2 linked regions of the Oryzias latipes genome follow. The protein of the gene in region 2 interacts with the protein of the main gene of each other region in a biochemical or structural test. Links are inferred from orthologs where the notes say so. Each region holds a gene or a part of one and is shown on either strand. Other genes may lie near its edges.

The links.
Region 1: the proteins of roquin-2 (region 2) and klhl6 form a complex in vitro, tested with the Homo sapiens proteins (2 studies listed by BioGRID, with this or other methods). The link is inferred for Oryzias latipes from reciprocal best matches to the Homo sapiens genes RC3H2 and KLHL6.

The regions. Positions count from the first base shown.
Region 1 is NC_019879.2:24,290,259-24,300,118, forward strand, and holds the end of klhl6 (kelch-like protein 6), read right to left. Parts: intron 9,544-9,860; coding exon 9,094-9,543; intron 9,016-9,093; coding exon 8,778-9,015; intron 8,394-8,777; coding exon 8,191-8,393; intron 8,046-8,190; coding exon 7,832-8,045; intron 4,128-7,831; coding exon 3,829-4,127; 3' UTR 3,587-3,828; downstream 1-3,586. Other genes in the region: proteoglycan 4-like, read right to left, coding at 150-446, 1,453-1,501. UniProt on the Homo sapiens protein: Involved in B-lymphocyte antigen receptor signaling and germinal center formation.
Region 2 is NC_019870.2:15,307,691-15,317,550, reverse strand, and holds part of roquin-2, read right to left. Parts: intron 7,131-9,860; 5' UTR 7,068-7,130; coding exon 6,837-7,067; intron 6,759-6,836; coding exon 6,641-6,758; intron 6,130-6,640; coding exon 5,896-6,129; intron 4,487-5,895; coding exon 4,311-4,486; intron 3,520-4,310; coding exon 3,319-3,519; intron 3,231-3,318; coding exon 3,098-3,230; intron 2,420-3,097; coding exon 2,301-2,419; intron 1,069-2,300; coding exon 956-1,068; intron 838-955; coding exon 535-837; intron 1-534. UniProt on the Homo sapiens protein: Post-transcriptional repressor of mRNAs containing a conserved stem loop motif, called constitutive decay element (CDE), which is often located in the 3'-UTR, as in HMGXB3, ICOS, IER3, NFKBID, NFKBIZ, PPP1R10, TNF and in many more mRNAs.

The sequences.
Region 1 (9,860 bases), on a different chromosome or scaffold from region 2:
ATAGAAGTTGTGAGTTATTAAAAAGGTTTAAATTTATTCTTATTCTCGCATTTTCAATAATCATCAGATGCTTTAGCCTAAAGCAGCTTACAGGTTTCCAGCAATTGAGGACAATGTGGAGCGTGTTTGCAAACGACTCAAAAACTTACCGATGACCTCCAGTTGAAAAGACGCAGGATGTAATTTTTTATTAGCAAATACTTCCACATCATAATCTCCGCTGTCTTCATACTTGAGATTTGCAATCGTCAGTTCTGCGGTATGCCAGTTAAGAGTGATCCTATCTATAAACGGGTTAAAGGGTTTCTGCTGCTGCCCGTCAAACTCAACCATTTTGTTGCCATTATGTTTCCACAGAATTTCCTCAGGAGGCTCTGGTGTGTTGATGCCCGTCTTAAAAGTGGTGCTGTTCCCCACAAGGGCATACTTTAGGGCTGCAGTAGTCACTAAGCAAAAAAACAAAGAGAGAGATTACAACAGTTAAAGTCTTCAAATAGTTATATTATTTAATGACAAATTGAGAAAACATTTGCTATCCAAAACAGTCAAAGCATCACATTATTGTTACACTTCTACAAATAAAGAAACTTTCAGGAGACGTAGCAGGTGTGGAGCAGGATGAGTTGCTGGCTTTTCTGCCTGAATGACATGCAGTGGTTTACAGAACAACCCGGTTTTCCTGAACAGAGCTGACTTCTGCATTCAACGGTGCTTGTAGGTCATATATTAGTTGACATGATCATGTTTTTTTTCCACAATGTTTACTTTAAAATATTTGATTGTTTTGCACTCCTCTTTTGGAGTGAATCACTAGATTCAAAATAATGGGACAGGAAAATCTAATTCATCATAAACCGTTTTATTCTGCATAACTTTTATTAATTATTTGTACAACATCCACCCTGAAGAACCTGTAATACCTGGCTTGAAAAGAAATTTAATGTAAAAAAAATGTATTCTCAAAATTCACAAATGTTCGTCCTTTGCTCTGTTGGTTGTTAAGAGCTTTCAGTTGTTTCTTATGTTGAGTTGATCAATTATTTATTGAATAAAAACTGCAAGGTTACAATATGGTTATACCTTGATTTAGATTTGTGGTTTAAAAACAACAACAAAATGGTTCTGTATGGGATTTTGTGTGGAAAGCCTTTTATTTTGGTAAACGGGGTGGATTCCAAAAGACTATTTTGAAGGTCAAACAACGTGAAGGTTTTATGATACAGAAACATACATGCAGTTAAACCTTATCAATGTTGCTAAAAAATATCTTATAGTGTCGCAGAGTTACTTAGAGAAAGAATAAGGAATTTTACGGAGATTTTCCGGAAATTAGTTTCTGTTCTCAGGAACTCCTGAAAAACACCATTAGTTTACTTTTCCGACGACATTTTAACAAACATGACACATCCTTTATTAAACTAATTTAAAAAGTTAGTATGAGGAAGAACTCACCCAAATTGATCAAACAAATACAGTAGGGGAGAAGAGATCGGGATTTCATGTTGAAAAAAGGTGGGTCATTACTTTCACTACGGGACTCTCAGGTAAATCCTACCGACGTTACCTGTCATGCACTTAAAAAACTCGAACTACTTTACGATTTTCTTTTCCAACAAATCAAAAATAATTAACGTTTGACTACAACAGGTCTAAAAACACAATTCTTTGGATAAAAACAAGGCAAAAGGTAAGTACTCTTCCAGTGTTTGGCGAGAGAAACACCTGAGTTTCCGGTTCATGGAATTTCGCAATAAATGTCATGGTATCGGTTCTCGTCCTTTACATTGTAGTTAAAACGTATTCAGGAAAATACATATTTATAAGTCAATTCATTACATTTTTTAATTAGACCAGGCTCAAAGGGACATGCACAAATTATGGTTAAAAAAATCAACAGAAAATGTTGTCAATGTTTAACGAGTAAAAGTTTAAGAGTTTCCGGCGGGGAATTTCATAGTAAATTTCCGGATATGTGTGGTGTCATTTATTTGTTTGTTAAAACTTCTACAAAGTTATGTAAAAAAATAAAAATAAAATAGGAAAGAGAGAGAGAAATTCGTTTTTTTTTCATCCAAGATTTGCCATTTATTGATATGATATTGCTTTAAGGCAAAACCTTCATTGATCGTTTAAAAAAGAAAAAAAAACTATTTTTTTCTACTTTTACCCTACCTAATTTTGAGGCTCCAGATAAAATGCAGTTATGTAACTCATCCCTGTCTCATCTTAGATATAATTACTACTGGTCCCCATAGTATGTTTACCTTAGTTCCCCTTTTCACTTGAGTGTGTTAACCGACTTTTGCTTTAAAGGGCCGCTGACTTTCAGCATGACTCAGGTGGCAGGTTTGACTGGTTTGCAACGTTCCATGTTGTTGTGCACAGAGATCTTGGGAATCACTGCCTTTTTGTTTTTTCCCCCTCTTCATGTCCTCCTTGATGATCTAAGCAAACATTTCTGGTGGAGGCCCCAAGGCTGTCACCTGGATCACATAAAACCGACACAGACATTAAAAAGGGGCTCATCATGACCCATCTTTTGGTTGCATGTGGAAGGGTTTTTGGACAGGGTACTCTGTACTTTTCCACATACAGAATCACTGCTATAGGTAAGTTGCTTGGTGCCACCTCTTAGCGAGGTTTTGATTTGCTTTTTGGACAGATGTTATAACTTATGAAGACATTTTTGTTTTGCTGGAGACAGAATAATTAGGTCTGTTTTTTTTCTATTTATCTAACGTTTTTCGCCCAATTATAGCCGCTACCTTCCCATCTTCCTCTTTTTGTTTTCATTTAGTAACAAAAATAAACCTTTCCATTGTGTGTCTTACTTCTGCTACCTGCTGTTCCAGAGCCACATTAACTAAGGACTACCTCTCCTCTGGTTAAAGAAAAATAAAAAAAATGTAACTTTAAAAAGTAATTGCAAAGTAAAAAGCAAAGTAAACAAATTCAAACTTTAACTCATTCGCATACATTTGATGACTGTATGTATCACAAGTCAAACTCAAATATTTTGACAGATTTTGTGCGGCATAAAACACAGAAAATCTTTTGGAGGGTCAATAAGCGCATTAGGAATTAGGGCACACCTGGTTGTATGACAGATTTTCTACTTTTGAACAAATTCAAGGATTTTAAGTGTGCCTTATGGTTCAGAAGATATTATTAGGGTCACTTAATTAGCTCTAATTTCATTTTGGTTAGTTAGATTTTCACTGCTGACATTACACTATACTATTACATTTGGTACAATGAGATGATGCTATGTACTGTAATGCAGAGGAGCTTTTATTTTGAAAGGAAGTTATGTAAACGTCTGTCAAAAGTTATAAAGTTTTTCATATTTTGAAAAAAAATAATCTTTATAATTATGTTTAATTTATGCTCTAAAAACAACAATTCATTTATATGTATCCTAAAAGTAACAATAACACAAATACAAATCAGTGCCGTACTTCTCTGCTGGGTTGTGGTCGGGGAGAAATCAACCGAAATGGCTCTAAGTGTTGAAGGCTGCAGACCCTGATGTAGACCAACTATGTTGTGGACGTAACACGTTTTTAAGAAAAAACCTTCGCAACACAACAGTTAAAATAGCTTTGTTGCTTTTACCACTGCATAAATTACCTTATACAAAAAGGTCAAAATAAAATGTAAACCTTAAGATTAAAAAACATGTATATTTTTATCTTCACATCAACAAAAACATGGTCACATGCCTCGTGCACAGTGGCAAGTCTACACTGGAAAAAATCAGTACATGCAAATGTCCCACTTTATTTTTAAACCCCATTTTGCCCCATTAGTTCCTGTTGACAGTGTTTGTCACTGGGACTCCGCTGGACGGGTTATTTTGTGTATTTGCGTGTAAGACTTCATCAGTGTCACACTGCCGTGATGGGACACTCCCATCGGTAAAACGCACTCCTCCGTCAACACTCCTTGCGTTACATCCCAGCACATGACAGTGGAGATGACTTGGTTCTTGTTGTCTCTTCCTCCGGTTATGAAGAGTTTGTTGTTGCAGGCTGCAATGGCACAACTTGCCCGTTCTCCTAGACGTGACACGAGGGTCCAGGTGTCGCTCAGAGGGGAGTAGCAGTACATGGCATTCATGGCACCACCTGGAATCACAAAATAACATTTAGAAAGGCTAATTTCAGTAAGGGTTAAATTGAAAAACTTGCATTTCTTCCAAAATATATATTTAAAGATAGTAAATGAAGTAAGCACATTTTTTTAAATGGGTTTTGTCGTACTTCGGTGATAATGTTAAAATACAAGTCACATTTTTTAAATTTTCCCAACTTAAATTGGACATGAGGCATTTTAGGGGTCAGTAGCTTGTTTGGATTTTTTTCTTTTATTAAAAAGGATTAGAAAAAAAAACATCCTCCAAATTTTTTAAATGCAGACCCAAATTCATTTTTCTACAACTACACAACCGCTTTTTTTTCTTTACAAACTTAATTTTCAATAAACTAAGAGAAACCGTAGAAGTCCTGCCTCCCAGGAAAGCTTAATTTTCTAATCATAAATGATCTGCACTTAAAAAGCAAAGAACAAAATCATGTAGAACATAGGATTGCATATGTGCAGCTTCATATATTGTATATTTCAGCATATAGTTACGTCACAGTTTTAGGCAGCAGGTGTCGGCAAAAAACCCTTTGGAGTCCAGGAAGTGTAACTTTAAAATTTTTGAGCATTCATGGTGAAATGTTTTGCATCCTGCACAAACGTGGCTTTTGCACTGTCATAAGTCTAACTGCTGTTGTGTTATTCCCCATCGATGTAGTACAATAATGTATAATTTAAAATCCCAATCACATATGAGCTTACATAAGGCAGTAAGTCATTAGAAAAATTGTCTTAAAAAATTGTGTAGAAGATTCTAAAGTCAAGTTGTGATCTGAAATGTTATGTTAGCATCATAACCTTACTGTACCAAAGTAAAAACACTAACAACGTTAATGTGTTAAAGTTAGAACTTATTTACTTTTGGATTAATTTTCAATAAAACAACAGACATTATCTGTTAAATTCAAGTTTGAAAATTGCCCAACAACCTCACAACCTCAGACATGCAGTTATTTTTTACTGTTATATTTCTTATTTTAGGAAATATAAGTCCAAAAATAACATAACCTATGTTAGCCCTGCATGAATCACTGTAAAGCAGGGTTGGCCACTGCTGGTTGTTTTCAAACATACCCTACCCTGCCATGTCCTAATTGTCTGATACAGGTAATCTTAAGATTCATTTTACCAACGCTTTTATTCATATCATAATTTGTGGCTGCCGATACAATTCATAGCCGATTTTGGTTCATTTTGAACGATCTAATTCAATGACCTAAATTCAGTCCAGGACATCTTTAGCCAAAAATTCAGTCAGTGAGACTCAGAGATAAAAACCTGTACTGAACAATGCAGGTTGAAGTTTTTCCAGACTCCTTGTACTTCTTAAAAGATGATCATCAATAAATTAAATGTGCAGAAAAAACAATAAAGTAAACAAGAATTACTTCCAAATCCATTCCCATTTTAGTTTCCCAAAGTTCAGCTGTTTTTTCACATCAAACTAATCCAAAGGGAACATTATTGGAACATTCTAGCACATTGTTTGGTCACATGACTTTGCTAAATTCAGTGTTTCCACACATTGGACTGGAATGATGGCTTGATCATTTTTTGTTGACATCACATCAAGTGTTGTCCGCTGTGATGCACTTTGTTGTTTTTATGTTATAGTAAAATAAAGATACCATGTCTCAATTCGAATGGTATTTTCCATTTTCATATAATCAATTTATTTTATTTTAAAACACATTTTTAATGGTTTAGGTTGATTCGATTAACAACTTGCCTCAGACGGATCGATCTGATTGGCTCGTAGGAATAGAAATTGATTAATCATTACACCCCTAGTAATAAGCCATGAGTAGGGCACCAAAATCTGGAAATCACACTGACACACCGACCCTTGAGACCTGGAGATGCCCACCCCTGCTGTAAAGTCATCAATAACTGAAAATAGCGACTTCCTAGATGACTCTCACACAGATGTGGGAGATTTTGTAATCATTCTGACTCATCAGAGCAACCTTAAAGGCAAACTCAAAACGGCCACTTCTGACACCCAATCATTCTCATTTTAATGAGACTGATCCGCCTCCAAAACAGGATTCTCCTCCATCCTCACTCCATTTCCCTCCACCCCGCTAACGGTCTTTTAGCTTTTAATGCTGTAATTGTCAAAACGAAACCTCACCGCAGCAAATACTGTCTAAATTGCAGAGAAGGAGGGATGCCTCGTTTAGCTTAGTATGTTTAGTTTAGTTTAGCCGTTACCTATTGAATTCTATGGCATCATGTAAATTATGATTTTATTTTCATTATACAATTACTGGTATGAAGCCCATTGAGACGACTACTGTTGTAATATTGGGCTATATAAATAAAATTGAATTGAATTAAATTAAATAGGTGAAAAGAAATGTAGCAAGTAAAAAAGTAAAACAAAAATGTTTAAAAAAATAATGGTTTAAATGCTTCTATTTGTTTATGGAAAAAGCTTTTTTACATTTACTCATAAAAGAGTTGTTTGTTAGGATCTTCAAAACAGACTAGCAAATTTGTTTAATTTTTCTACATTTGCTTACTTTTTGAGTATTTTTTGTACAAAAGATGCAAACTTATTTAAAGCTTTTGGTTTCCCCTTCTAGGTAAACCTACAGTGTTTCTGCTGTGCTTCCCCGAATGGATGACTCAGTCGTTACTGATCATTTTGAAACTGTTTGAGTGCAGGACTGGCACATGGGAAACCAGGGTTCGAATCCCAGGGGCACGATGATCTTCATCCAGTGTGGGTCTTTGGGCAAGACCCTTCTAGCTGCTGACTAATTATGTAGCCACAAAGGGGCCCAAGTCTGTGCCGGTCCCTAGCCCAGATAAAATTCAGGGTTGTGGCAGGAAAGGCGTTCGGTGTAAAAATCTTTGCCAAACAACCTGTCCAAATCAGTGAAAGCTGATTCGCTGTGGGAGATATGCAATATGAAAGTGAACAACAACCTCACAAAGAAAACCCATTGGAAGCCAAAAGGTCTCACTTCAACCTTTACAAAAATAAGACACTTGATTTGCATTTCTATTATTGTTCCTTTTATGATAAAATTAAATAATCATTTCTGTTTGCATTAATAAAATAAAGAAAGAAAGGGTTACATGACTTTGTTTCAAAATAAGACACCGTGTGCCACTTAGAATCATCTCAATGTAGCAAATATAGGTGGTGTGATGTCAGCAGTGATGGGGGGGGGGACTTTACATGGTTTGTTTTGTTGTTGTTGATGCATCTCAGCCAGACATTTGTAAATATAACTACCATAAATTAAATCAGAGGTAATTTTTGGACCACATGGTACACTTAATATCCTTAAATTTTGTTTAGGACTAGCCAGTTTGCTTAATCTGATGTGCCTTCAGTATGAATTCTGGTTGTGCTTACTGACCTATAATTGATATTGTGTGCTAAACGACGCAAAAAATGTTTCACTTTGGTAAAAAAAGCTGCACCGCTTGATGGATTGTTGGAGCATCATGGGAGCAATTGGTGTTTTCCTTCCACTGTTTGTCAAATAAAGTTTGACTCTTCTGACTTAGTTTTGATGTTTATTCCAAAAAATACGTTAGTTTTTAAGTTAAAAACATTGCATTGTTCTTTGACTACAGAGCCATAAAGGAGGGGTCAAAGAGGCACGTGTGGCTCTGAAGCCTCAGGGTGCAGACCCCTGTTTAGATCCAAACAAAACTGGCCTAAACTCACCAACGACGTAGATGCAGTTCTTGAAGGTGACAGCGTTGGTGCATTTGGTCTCAATGGGGATGGGCGCTCGCAGTTCCCAACTGTCCGTTCCTGGTTCCCAGCACTGAACCTTATCAGTGGACAGTTTTCCATTTGGCCCCCCGCCAATCACGTAGATCCATCGGTCAAAGTTTGCTGCAGCAAAGGAGCTCACACCGATAGCCAGAGGTGTCGCCTGCAGCCAGCACAGAAGAAGTAAAATAAAGAGGTCAAGGGGTTAAAGCAGGAAACTTTTTATAAGAAGGGATTGAATTCAAATAGGGTGATTTTTTTTTTCAGTATGTAAAATAGGGACAGCATTTTAAATGTTATCATGTTACCTGTGTCCATCGATTGTGAAAAGGATCATAGGCCTCCACACTTGTGAGTCTCTGAGTTCCATCAAAACCCCCCAGAACATAAACTTTCCCATTCTGAACTGCCATCTTGTGCCTCCAGCGTCCCACTGAGAGGGGCTCGACTTGAATCCATTTGTCCAGAGCGCCGTTATATTTCCAAACATCATGCTGCGTCTCTTTCCCCCCTACCGTTACAAAAAAAAAAAAAAACATCAGTGTTTCCTCTATTGCTTAACGTTTTACTTTTCAGTGCAGTCATGTTGGTCAAGGACTGTGTCCTGCTCTGAACCACAGAGCACAGTGGTTGTGATGATAAAATGTAAACATGTCTTAACGTTTTCTTCAGGTTTCGAGGACGTCGAGAGTTGTGGCAACAGTTCCTAAGTAAGGAAGCACCTAAAACCACAATAACTCTCCTCTTCCTGTTGTTTAGTTCAGCTTTCTAACTTTACCATTCAAAACTTCACATTGGACTTTCAGTGAGACTCATTAGAACCAGGAACAAGGTTATAAAGCGGCTGACAAAAGCAACAGAAGGTTTACAAATTTAGAAAATAGTCTGCTCTCACCAGATATATACACTTCATTGTGGAAGGTAACGCAAGCAAACTCCACCCATTTTCTGTTCTGGGATTCGTCCTCCATCTCCGTCATTGGCAGCCGAGCGACCTCCAGCCGGCTGCGCCTGAGAGGGTCCAAGCAGGTGACGGTGGAGATGAAGCGCTCGTCTTTTGTGCAACCTCCGATGATGAGGAAGACCTCGGACAGAAAGTGCTGCAAACGAGGTTTGGTTCGCTCTGAGACCACCTGAAAACACGGGGGTGGGAGTGTCATGGTAGGGAGACGATTGGGAGACATTTTCCACCACCTACTCCTAATACTGACCTCCCTCCCGGACAGGTGAAAGGTGCGTGCCTCTTGCAACAAAGGAAAGGCCTTACTGCAGCAGCGAATCAGCTCATCCGACTCCACTTTCTCCACAAAGTACGCGGGGTCCAGCAGTGGCAGTCGGACGTGTGAAAGCAGCCTGGCCAGTAGCGGACAGCGTTCGCTCTGCCGGGCTCTCACCCAGCTCATCAGCGCTTCGAAAACGCACTCCTCACACCTTACATCCAACTCGTCACTCTGCAGGACCGCCTCCAGAGACTGAGCAGGCATCTCCACAAAGTCCTGCTGCTGGATCACCTGAGAGAACTGGTAGGTGATGTACTCCTCCGCTGTGGTCCTCAGCTCTGGCAGGGCGTGGCTGTGGGCCAGATTCAGGATGCCAACACAGCTCTCAAGTTGGAGGGACTTGCTGAGAAATTTGGAACATGCATCTACAACGCGCAGAAACTGCAAAAAAAAAAGAACAAAACATGAGCTTACATAATAAATAAGAAGATAAGGTTCTAACATTTTTCACGCTTTTTCTTATTTGTAGATTTTCTAACATGTATGTCCTTTGTCCTTTAGAAGTATTGAGAGTATAAGGAAATATTTTCTATGTAGAGAAAAGTGCAAAACAAAGCCTTCAACACCTTAGTAAAAGTGATGAAGACACTGAAGACTTTTTTGACTACAAGTTTTCTCAATCTTGTAGCTACAAAATTCACACAGAAGTCTTCGTGTTTCTGTAAATCTCCACAAGAAAGGCAGCATGAGACACCTAA
Region 2 (9,860 bases):
CACTGTAATCTAAATAAACTACAATTAGGTTTATAAAAACTCAAAAATACAAACCATTTGCTTAGCAAAGAATACTTGTTATTGGGCTGTATACCATTTAATTATGTCATTCTATCAAACAGTTAGCTTTTGTTCTACATGTTTGGAACTCCTTGTTTCGAAATTTTGATATCTTACACAATTTCTTATAGGGTAAAATTGACTTGGTTCATGAACAGATCATTTTAATCTCTTCTTGTGTTCTTTTCTTATTTTTAGGAGACCTCTTTTTGCAGTTTAAGGTTAAACCACCCCCACAAAATAAAAACAACCCTGGACAAAAATGTACAAAGACACAGTGGAAGTAAGTCCACACATCTGGAAGCTTCTAGATTTTGACTGGATTAATATAAATGATCATGCAAGTGAGGCGTAATCCTCAATGCATGTTGAAGATTAAGGATTAAGATTAAAATAAAAAAAGATTGAGGGCTGGAACTACAAAAATGAAGCAGATGCCGACAGCAAGTAAAATAAGAACAATGGTCAACATACGGGTCGGATGATCCTGCTGAAGCTCTGTTGGTTCCTGGTACCCCGTTACCCCCGCCGCTGATTCCGTTTGGCACGGGTCTCTTCCTGTCCGTGCCTCTGGAGATCAGGGACTGGTGAGCCAGACCAGGAACCCCCTCCATCTTGGCCCCTGCTTTCTCCGCCGTGCCTTTCAGGTCCGACCCCACCCCTGCAGATACGTCGGTGTGGATGCCGGCCTCCATCGAGAATGTTTTATTCATCACACCTGGGGCGAGAGGGAATGCACGACCCACACAGCTGCTCTTCTTGTTCCTCAGTCGAAATCTGCACGAGAAGGCGACAAAGCTTAGGACACGCTCAGAATGCTCCATGAGATATTTATGATTATACAAATAGGAGAAATTCAGAATTTGATTATGCTGTAAAATGAAAAAACCCTCACTTTTCCAGCTCGTCTTGTGTGTGTGCAAATGTACAGTTGGTTCCTCGAGGACAGCCTCCCTGCTGACGAAGATCTCGGCACATGCTGGTCTTGTACTTGCTGTTGGCCTGAGGCTACAAATCCACAAAAATGCGACACAAATTACCCGCACAGTCCTGAAAATTAATCGTAGTATTTCAATATTTTATCTGACATTACATAACCATCAGGCCTTCTACATCCTTACCCTGTGGCTGGTTTAACTCTTTAACTACACCAGTGAGGGAGTGCAGGCACTGGATAAGTCTGGAGTTCCTTCAGCATCTTTCTTTTTTTTAATTTTTAATTCATTTTTGCCTAAAATGTCATCTTTAGTTTATTTTTTAATATTTCAAAGTCAAGTAATTTTGTGGCACAGCATAGTTAGAAGTCGAGTCCTTAAATATTTTATTAGACTATCAATAGCAGTAGTAAGAACATGCAGTCACCACAGAACTGGTGAGTCTATATAAGCCTATATAATAACAACTTTTATTTCAACTCAGTCTAAAAGTGCATGCTGCTAATGTGAAGTTGCAATTTCCATCCGTTTTTGTGAAGCGTATGGATAGTAAAGCAAATCTGTATTGAATTTTCATTTTATATGTAGTCAGACTCAACTAAAATTTTATTGAAAACTTTTTCTTAGAGCTGTTGATATTCAGGAGGGTTTTATTTCACCAATCGTTTTCTACTAAAATAAAATATATCACATTTGAGCTGTATAAAAAAACATTTTTTAGTACCTGAACATTTCTTCTCATTTTGTACAGCGACTTCACAGCCTGAGAAGCTGTTAAGAGTCCACTTATGTGATGTAAGTCATCCACTCTGAATCCAATATATTTGGTTTCCAGTGTTATTAAAAAGAGATAAGGTTGCTGCAAAACTCATATTACTTCCTGTCTTTATCAAAATAAAGAGCAAAAAAAATAAAAATAATAATAATATAGAACCTGCTCACTTTTTTTACAGTAAAGTTAGACTGAAACTTTTTCCATTATTGATCACATAAATAATATTTCAAAATAAAACCAATACTTCAAAAAAGGGCATTTAAACTATTTAAACCTCAGTTTATTTATGGCTCCTGAATTTTAGTGTTTAGAAGCAAGAAAACACAACCTAGTTTCTGAAATAATGGGAAAAACCCTGCATGTGTTTAAATCTCATGAATCTAAATGAGATTAGGTGTGGTCAGACAGCATCTCCTGTCCTTTAGAACTGCCTTAGAAGCCAAGAAGGGTTTTAAGTGAGAAGTATTTTAAAGTGTTCATTAGTTTGAAAGTTGTTTGTAGCATTTGGACATTTTTCTGCTTCAGTTTACCTGTGGGGGGTCGTGGCTCTTCTTGCTAAAGTTCTGTGTGAACTCCACTAGTCCGTGAACGACCAGCTTTACCGCCAGGGTTACACTTTCCAGCTCCTCCCATGACGGCGAGGGGGCATCTGCATTAAGATTGAAAGATGCAGGCAAAATAAAATAGTGTTAAAATGGCGAAAATATTCCATCAATTTTAGAAAATTACACTAAAAAAACATATAAACAATGTGTGTTAAAGTAAAATCTTTAAAGATCCACATGTTGGTGACATTTTTCTCTCTGTTTTTGTATCTTTATCGTACTTAATAAAGGCAGAAGGTTCTCCAAAAATGGAAAAAGTGAATACAAAAAACGTTTTCATATTAATATCTGTAGTTGTCATCCTAAATATAAAAAGTGCATCCAATTTCAGCTCTAACACCACAGTATGTAAATTGTCAACAGATGGTCGGGCTTCCTAAAAAGGTTGAAACTTGAAAATGCCATACCATCATTTATTAAACACACAAACTCATTTTCATAAACCTTTCCAACTTCAAGAGTTTGAAAGGTTTTTAAAACTACCAAAAGTTATTTACAATAAAAACAGAACCCCCCCCCCCCTTTTTTTTTACAAAGCAAAGCTTACTTCCAGTGGACAGTGAATAAACAAAAACATGTTTACTTGTTTTTCCCCCCATTAAAATGATTGTTTAACTGTTGATTTTATTTATCCACTTATAAGATCTGAGTTTTTTAGTCATTTTGATTCAGAAACAGTGACATTGTTGAAGTGCTTGAGCCTGTTGAGGGTGGGTGATTACCTGGGTTGTGGTCTATGTTGGCCAGTAGCTCTAGATGTGGTCTAAGGCTTGTTAGGTTAGCAGGGTCTGCAGTCCTCTGCAGAACGATTGTCAGCTCCTGAACGCTCTTTGCAAACGACTCTGGAGACTGGAGCTACAGAAGATAAGGTCGAAGTCTGATATTCTGATTTTATGAAATCAAAGATGGATACAAGCATATACACATGTGTGGACTGTGGTACCTTATCGATGATGGACTGCATGTGTGACTTGTGAACCAGGTCTCCATACAACAGAGAGGACCACTGCTCTGGGGAGATGCGTAACCCCGCTTCCATGGCGATATGGACGATCTGCGCGTCATGTTCTCTCCTCAAGGCTTCGTAGCTACGGAACTCCTCCTTCAGCTGCATCAACGAGGAGTCCTCGTCCCGCTTCGTCACCTGATGATGATGAGGCCAGGCCACAGAGGGAGAACAAAGAGGACGAGACGCAGCAGGAGAGAGGAGAGTGGGAGGAGAGACGAGGAGGCGTTGGGATGGATGCATGAGAACTTTTTCTGACAGCTTTATCTTTGAGCTTTCTTTCAACTGCTATTCAATAAAATCGACCAAACAATTTATTAAAGTTTTTTTCTCTCAGAAGGTTCCTAAAGTGACACTTGCAATCCATAGAGTGCATTTCTGTGTGTGTGTGTGTGCGTGTGGCATCCTCAGACTCACAAACTCAAATTCAGATCAGACAAAGGGGACTCTCCCTGTTCAGAATCTGCCCTATGAGTAATCATCACAGGACGCCGACACACAAACCACAACAGCCATTAGTTATAATCTGAGATGCAATTACTCAAGCAGAACTCCGTCCTTGGAGTTCATCCGTCGTTGTCGGCCACCTTGGCTGCCGAGGCAGGGCAGAGGGAGAAAATAGAGGCTACAGGAAAATAACCCTGCCAGTGATGTCTGTTATCAAATAACAAGCCCAAAAATACATGCACTCTAAAAATGGGTGTGCAGAAGCCCATGCCCTGACTGAAGCTGCAGGATTTAGGACATTTTTAACACTGGAGAGCACATTTTCCAGCTGCTGTACTGTTTTTCTTGAGAGATCAACCAACAGTTGCTTTAGAAAAGTCTTGCTTTTGTGGCTTAAAATCAGTTCATAGTGTTCACATGAGCTTGCATAGATGTAGTCATTGGTCTGTTGTGTAGATGTGGCCCAGTTTTATTGTCCACACCTTAAAGCAGGAAGCTCTGTAGAGCAGCTGCACCACATGACCTATGCTGGTTTTCGAAGCCTGGGGGAACCGAGCCTCCAGTTTTTGGACGACAAACAAAACCAAGACCTTCCTGGACAGAGCTGAGCCATCTTCCAGCGCCAGCAGAACCAGCTTCAGGGCATCTTCCTGCATGGCTGGTGAAGAGAGGTTGGATGGAGGCGAAGAGTTGGCGAGAGATGAAAGCGAGAAGGATGAAAGTAAGGAAAAAACACAAACGCACATGAAGAATTCAGGTGAGAACCGGGGAAGCTGCATATGACAGTACTGCAAAAACAATAAAAAGGTGTCCTCAGAATTTTGTATGAACTCATTTTGTTATCAGGATGAGAAATGATTTCCCATTCAGAATCTGCCCTATGAGTAATCATCACAGGACACCAGGAAAAAGCATCAGCGTCGAGTCTGACGAGGAAACACTCACAGCCAATGAGGATTTTTAAACACAAACTAGCAACAAAAACTGGTTGTGTCTAATTGCCCTAGAAATTTCCCGTAAGTCTCTGTGTAAACCCTGTCTGCATCAATGTTCACTAGATTGGCTAATATAGACCACAATGCATTGCATTTGAATGATTTTTCATGAGGAACATTTTTTATTTTTATTTATTTTTATATCAATCATCCAAGTTTTTTTTATCATCAAAACACAGTAGATTCATAAAATACTTGTAAAATGTTCACAGTTATTAGGGTTTTACTTTTGGAAATCTGTCACATGATTTTTGGCATTAGAAAATTAAAAGTGTTGAGCACGGTGTTCAAATTGCATTAAAACTCCAGGGCACTAGATAGTTCTGCACTATACAGTTTTTTTGTAGTTTAATAGTAGGGAGGGGATTTGGGCTTAACCTAAATAAGCTGAAATGTCTTTCATTGAGAAGCTAGAATCAATTTTGGAGTATCTTACCCACTAAATGTACAACAAGCTATAATGTAATAGTGCAAAGTCCATAGGTTACAGCATAAAAAAAATAATTCTTTACCAAAAAATGTTTTTTTTAAATGTAGCCTGTTAGGGTTTTTTTTTTCTATTTGAGCATTTTAAAATACTTCATTTGTAGTATAAGAGTGTGTAAATTCTTACAAATAAAAATAAATACATATAACTTCACAGCTGCATTTGTTATTCTTTTTTCCTCATCAAGGAAAATGCTCCTCTTAGAAATCAATGTTTAATCTGTGATAAAGTTTTTATCCTAAATAAGTACTCCATGTTCTAAACAAAGTTCAACAAAAATATAAAGTTTTGTGTGTATTTTCCTATTTTTTTGGTAATTATGTAAATGTTTTCATTTTTAAAATTTGTTTCATATTGCATATATGATAGTTGGTCATTAAAATAAAATTATTTTAAAGATTTTTACTCTGATTATCCTCTTCTTTTACAAAGGTTAATCTGAAAAACCACCGTAATGGTGTGATTTAATGACATATCTACAGCAAATATCTGTTTTACACTTGTCATTTGTGACAGCTTTATTGCATTCATCATAAAGTTGTTTGTTTGAGTGTTTAAGTTTGGTTTTCATCAGCAGACACTCACCAGGTCCCAGAAACTGGCAGCCACGCGCCCTCACTGCTGCCCACAGGTTGGCAGACAGCTGCTGGGGGTTCTGGTGCTGCAGAATGAGCTCGGTTACTGTCCGCTCCCCCAGAGAGCGGCATGCTCGAACCGCCCGCACGCGGCCTTCCTCCTCCACCAGCTGACAGTTCACCAAGGTCACCAGCTTCCTTTGCATGGGCCGACTGAGCACGCTCGGACTCAGGCTCGCCACACCTGTAGTAGGGAAGTGATACCTCTTTAGGTAAACTGCACATATATGAAAGTTTACTAAAAGATATGTTTTTATTTGATATATTTCTGATTATGCTAAATAGAAAAACACATTTTTTAGTTTAGTGCAAACTGCCCTATTTCTCAAAAGACTCTGACGCTCCAACAGATTTGAATCTAAACTCCTACAGAGTTGTCAATTTTTTGCTTTTCAAAGCTCTGACATGGCAGTAAACTTAAATGATAAAACAGAAAAAAATCACGAAAGTTGCACATTTCTTAAATTGGCTGAACTTGCCTGAGTCTCTCTGCAGAGGTCACACATAGAACCTCATTTTTCTCCATTACCACTAAAGTACAGCAGCGTCCTACATAATGTGAGAGGGAAGAGGAAATGCCAAACCATGCAGCCAGTTTGACTGCAGCCCACGCACGCCAAATGTGAAGTCTCATTCCACATATATATAAATGCCAATCATGAAGCATCCTGTGAGTGCGCGCACACATGCAGTACCTTTAGTGCCGCTGATGGGCTTCAGGTAGAGAGCCAGTTCTTCCACACACACTCTGCAGACTTCATAGTGCCCAGCCTCTGCAGCAGTGCTCAGGCTCACCGGCTGAACATCAGGGACCTTACAGTGGAGGGAAGAGTTTCGAGTTTGAGTTGCTTTGCTTTTTTCTCCAGTCACCACCGGTGTACTCAGCCTTACCTGAGCTCCAACCAGCTGGAGCAGGGCACAGTTGACAGGCAGCAGGTCGATGTCTGTGCTGATGGGGGTCTGATCGAAGGGGCAGGCCTTGCGGTGCAGCTTGTGCAGGCAGGTCTTACACACTGTGTGAGAGCAGCCCAGACTGATGGGCTGGTGGCTGCTGCTGTCAAACTCATTGTAGCAGATGGGGCAGGACAGGAACTCAGTCCACTGGGCCGCCTGCACAGGCATCCTGCTGCCTAGCCGCAGGGGGATTCGCCGGCCAGCTCAGGAAGAATGCATGTCAATGTGCACCTGCAACAAGAGTGACATCGCCTCTTGTTATAAAGGACAAATGCAGATGGATGAGAAATAACACGGAAATAGGTTCAATTTCAATCCACAAGTTAAAAGTCTGATAACATTTTTGATGCATTGCTATTCACATACTGTAAGTAAAAATTCCTTTGTCAATTTTTCATTTAAAATATTTTTGTTTGTAAAAAAAACAAAAAACAAAAAACTTTCTTTGGTAAAATTATGAATTTTTATTCTAAAAACTCACAAAATGTTTTTGTTTTACCCCAAAAACTACAACAAATTGCCATAAAAGAAAACCAATGAATGCATTTTAAAGACCTAATAGTGTTTTGGGTCTTTAACATGTTCTTGTCACATTTGATGACGGAAGATTTTTCTTCATAATTCTTTATTCAAATCAATTTGAATCAGAAGCAGAAGAAAAAATGACATTTGAAGAAGAACATATATATTTGTGATGTAGAAAATACGCTGGACGGGCCACACGCTCCCTGAATCGAGCTCTCGGCAATGGGGAGGGGAAGGGGGGGCGGGGTTGCTCTGTTTTCAACGGTCTAGCCCACAACTCAGAGGCAGAATTTCCAGTGAACTCCTGCTGCTATGTAGAAACTGTGTCCGAGATTTTGGCTAAAAACCGCATAATCATAATTTAATGACCATTTGGAACACTATGGCTATAGATGATCAGCGTGGGTCTTTAGGTAAAGATTTGATTGATCTATTTGATTTATTTTTATTTAAGCACACCTCTATAAATAAATGCTGAAGTTTGTAGAAATGGATCAATATGAAAGAAGTGATCTCATGGGAAATAGATCAGAGTCTGTTATTATTTTGTCCATTTTTTTCCTGTCAGTCCCCCATTACATTCGTCACCTAGCATCCCTGTTTTAACACAGAGAAGTACTTTTATCCACTTCAGAAAATATCTGCACTCCATGTTGATGATGTGTGGCTAAAAGGTCTATGGGAGACGCCTTTCCATATGACACCCACAGAGTCCAGCAAACAGGGTCTGTACAGATGTAATCACTGAGGAGGGTGCCTTTTATCTGAACAATAAATTATATTTAGGATGGTGTGTAAAATGAAAATGCACAGCATGTCTGATTTGGCAAACAGGAATGAAAAAGCAAAACGATAAACCAATGAGAACGCCTGTGCCCAACAGCTAAAATACAAAACCCCTACTTTCCCTGAGTAGTTAGTATTAAATTTATAATGACAACTTACTTGCTTCATAGAGATTTATATTACTGGCACCACAATTAGTCATCCTTTTACAACTCTTTCTTACCATTTTTTTGGTGAACATTGGAGATAATTAAAAAAAAATTAAGTCATTCTCTGAGAGTTGAATTAATTTTAATGCATTTCAGTGCATTCTGTTTAGTGCAATCATATTAAACACTATATAAGGATCTGCTGCCACCCAGATTAAAATGTTAACTTCAAACAGTGAACTAAGCATGGATACATACTTGAGAGTCTCTTTCCATTCAATTCCTCAAAAAATAGATTAATTGTGAGCATTGTGTCCAGTTTGCTAAAAAGAATAGGCTTTACTCATTTTCCAACACACGAAAGTCCTGTGAAAACGTCAGCCCCAGCTTAGAATTTGCGTGCCGACGACAACAGAAAGGAAAGGAGAAGCAAGACTTCCCATCCGATGTTTAACAGTCCAACCATACAGCCTGTTACTGGAACAGAGATGTGTATGCAGAGAAGAAAGCGCAAAAAGGCGGTGCATCCCAGTCGTTCGTGCCTAACATGACTGTATAATGAAATTAGGAGAATCCCTCTTTAAACCACAACTTGAGTTGTTAATGTCTACAGCTTTGAATAGATAAACGCAGACAGAAACCTTGGACGTGATGGGAAAGCTGTTATCTCTTTGCTTCCGTCTTTTGTTCCCAAACACTTCATGCAGCTGCCACCGTTGAACCTTCGTTTTGTTGGTGTACGAGACAAGAAAGTTTAAGAACCAAGAGGAAATCTGGGTCCACTTTCTAAACCCAGACCCAGAGAGCTTCATGATTTTAACAACAAACAGTTTATTTTTCAAAGTACTGTATAACAAGGAGAAAGTACGATTGCCTTTGCAAGAAATATTTTTGAACTTGTCGAATTTCAAATATAGGTTAGTACAAACAAAACTTGCTGCATTTTTATTTTATTTTATTCATTCATCCATTTTCTTCCGCACATCCGGGTTCGGGTCATGGAGGTAGCTGTCTAGGTAAAGATGCCCAACCACTGCCTCCAGTCTCCTCGTCTCTAAGGTGTTCCCAGGCCAGCTAAGAGACAGTCTCTCCAGTGTGTCGTGGATTCTCCATGGGGTCTTTGCCCATTGACACATATCTAGAAAATCTCCCTGGCGGGGCAACCAGGAAGCATTCGGACCAGATCACATAACCCCGGAGCTCTGTTGATCCAAGGGGCTAAGATGTCAATGGTTAATGCACCTGGTTGGGTCTCCCATGGCAGACAGGTCTTAGGTGACGAGCCAGACTAAAGACAGTTTACAACCCCTTTATGAGTACTGAAAATCTAAGTCGCCCAGACCTGGGGTTGGGGCTCACAGGCAGGTGCCTGGTGGCTGGGGCTCTTCCCATGGGCCCCAGTTGGACCCAGCCCAAAGGGTTGACGTGGGATCACTCTTCTGTGGACCAACCACCAGCAAAAGAACTCAAATAGGGCCAGTGCAATGTGGTTTGGGGTGGC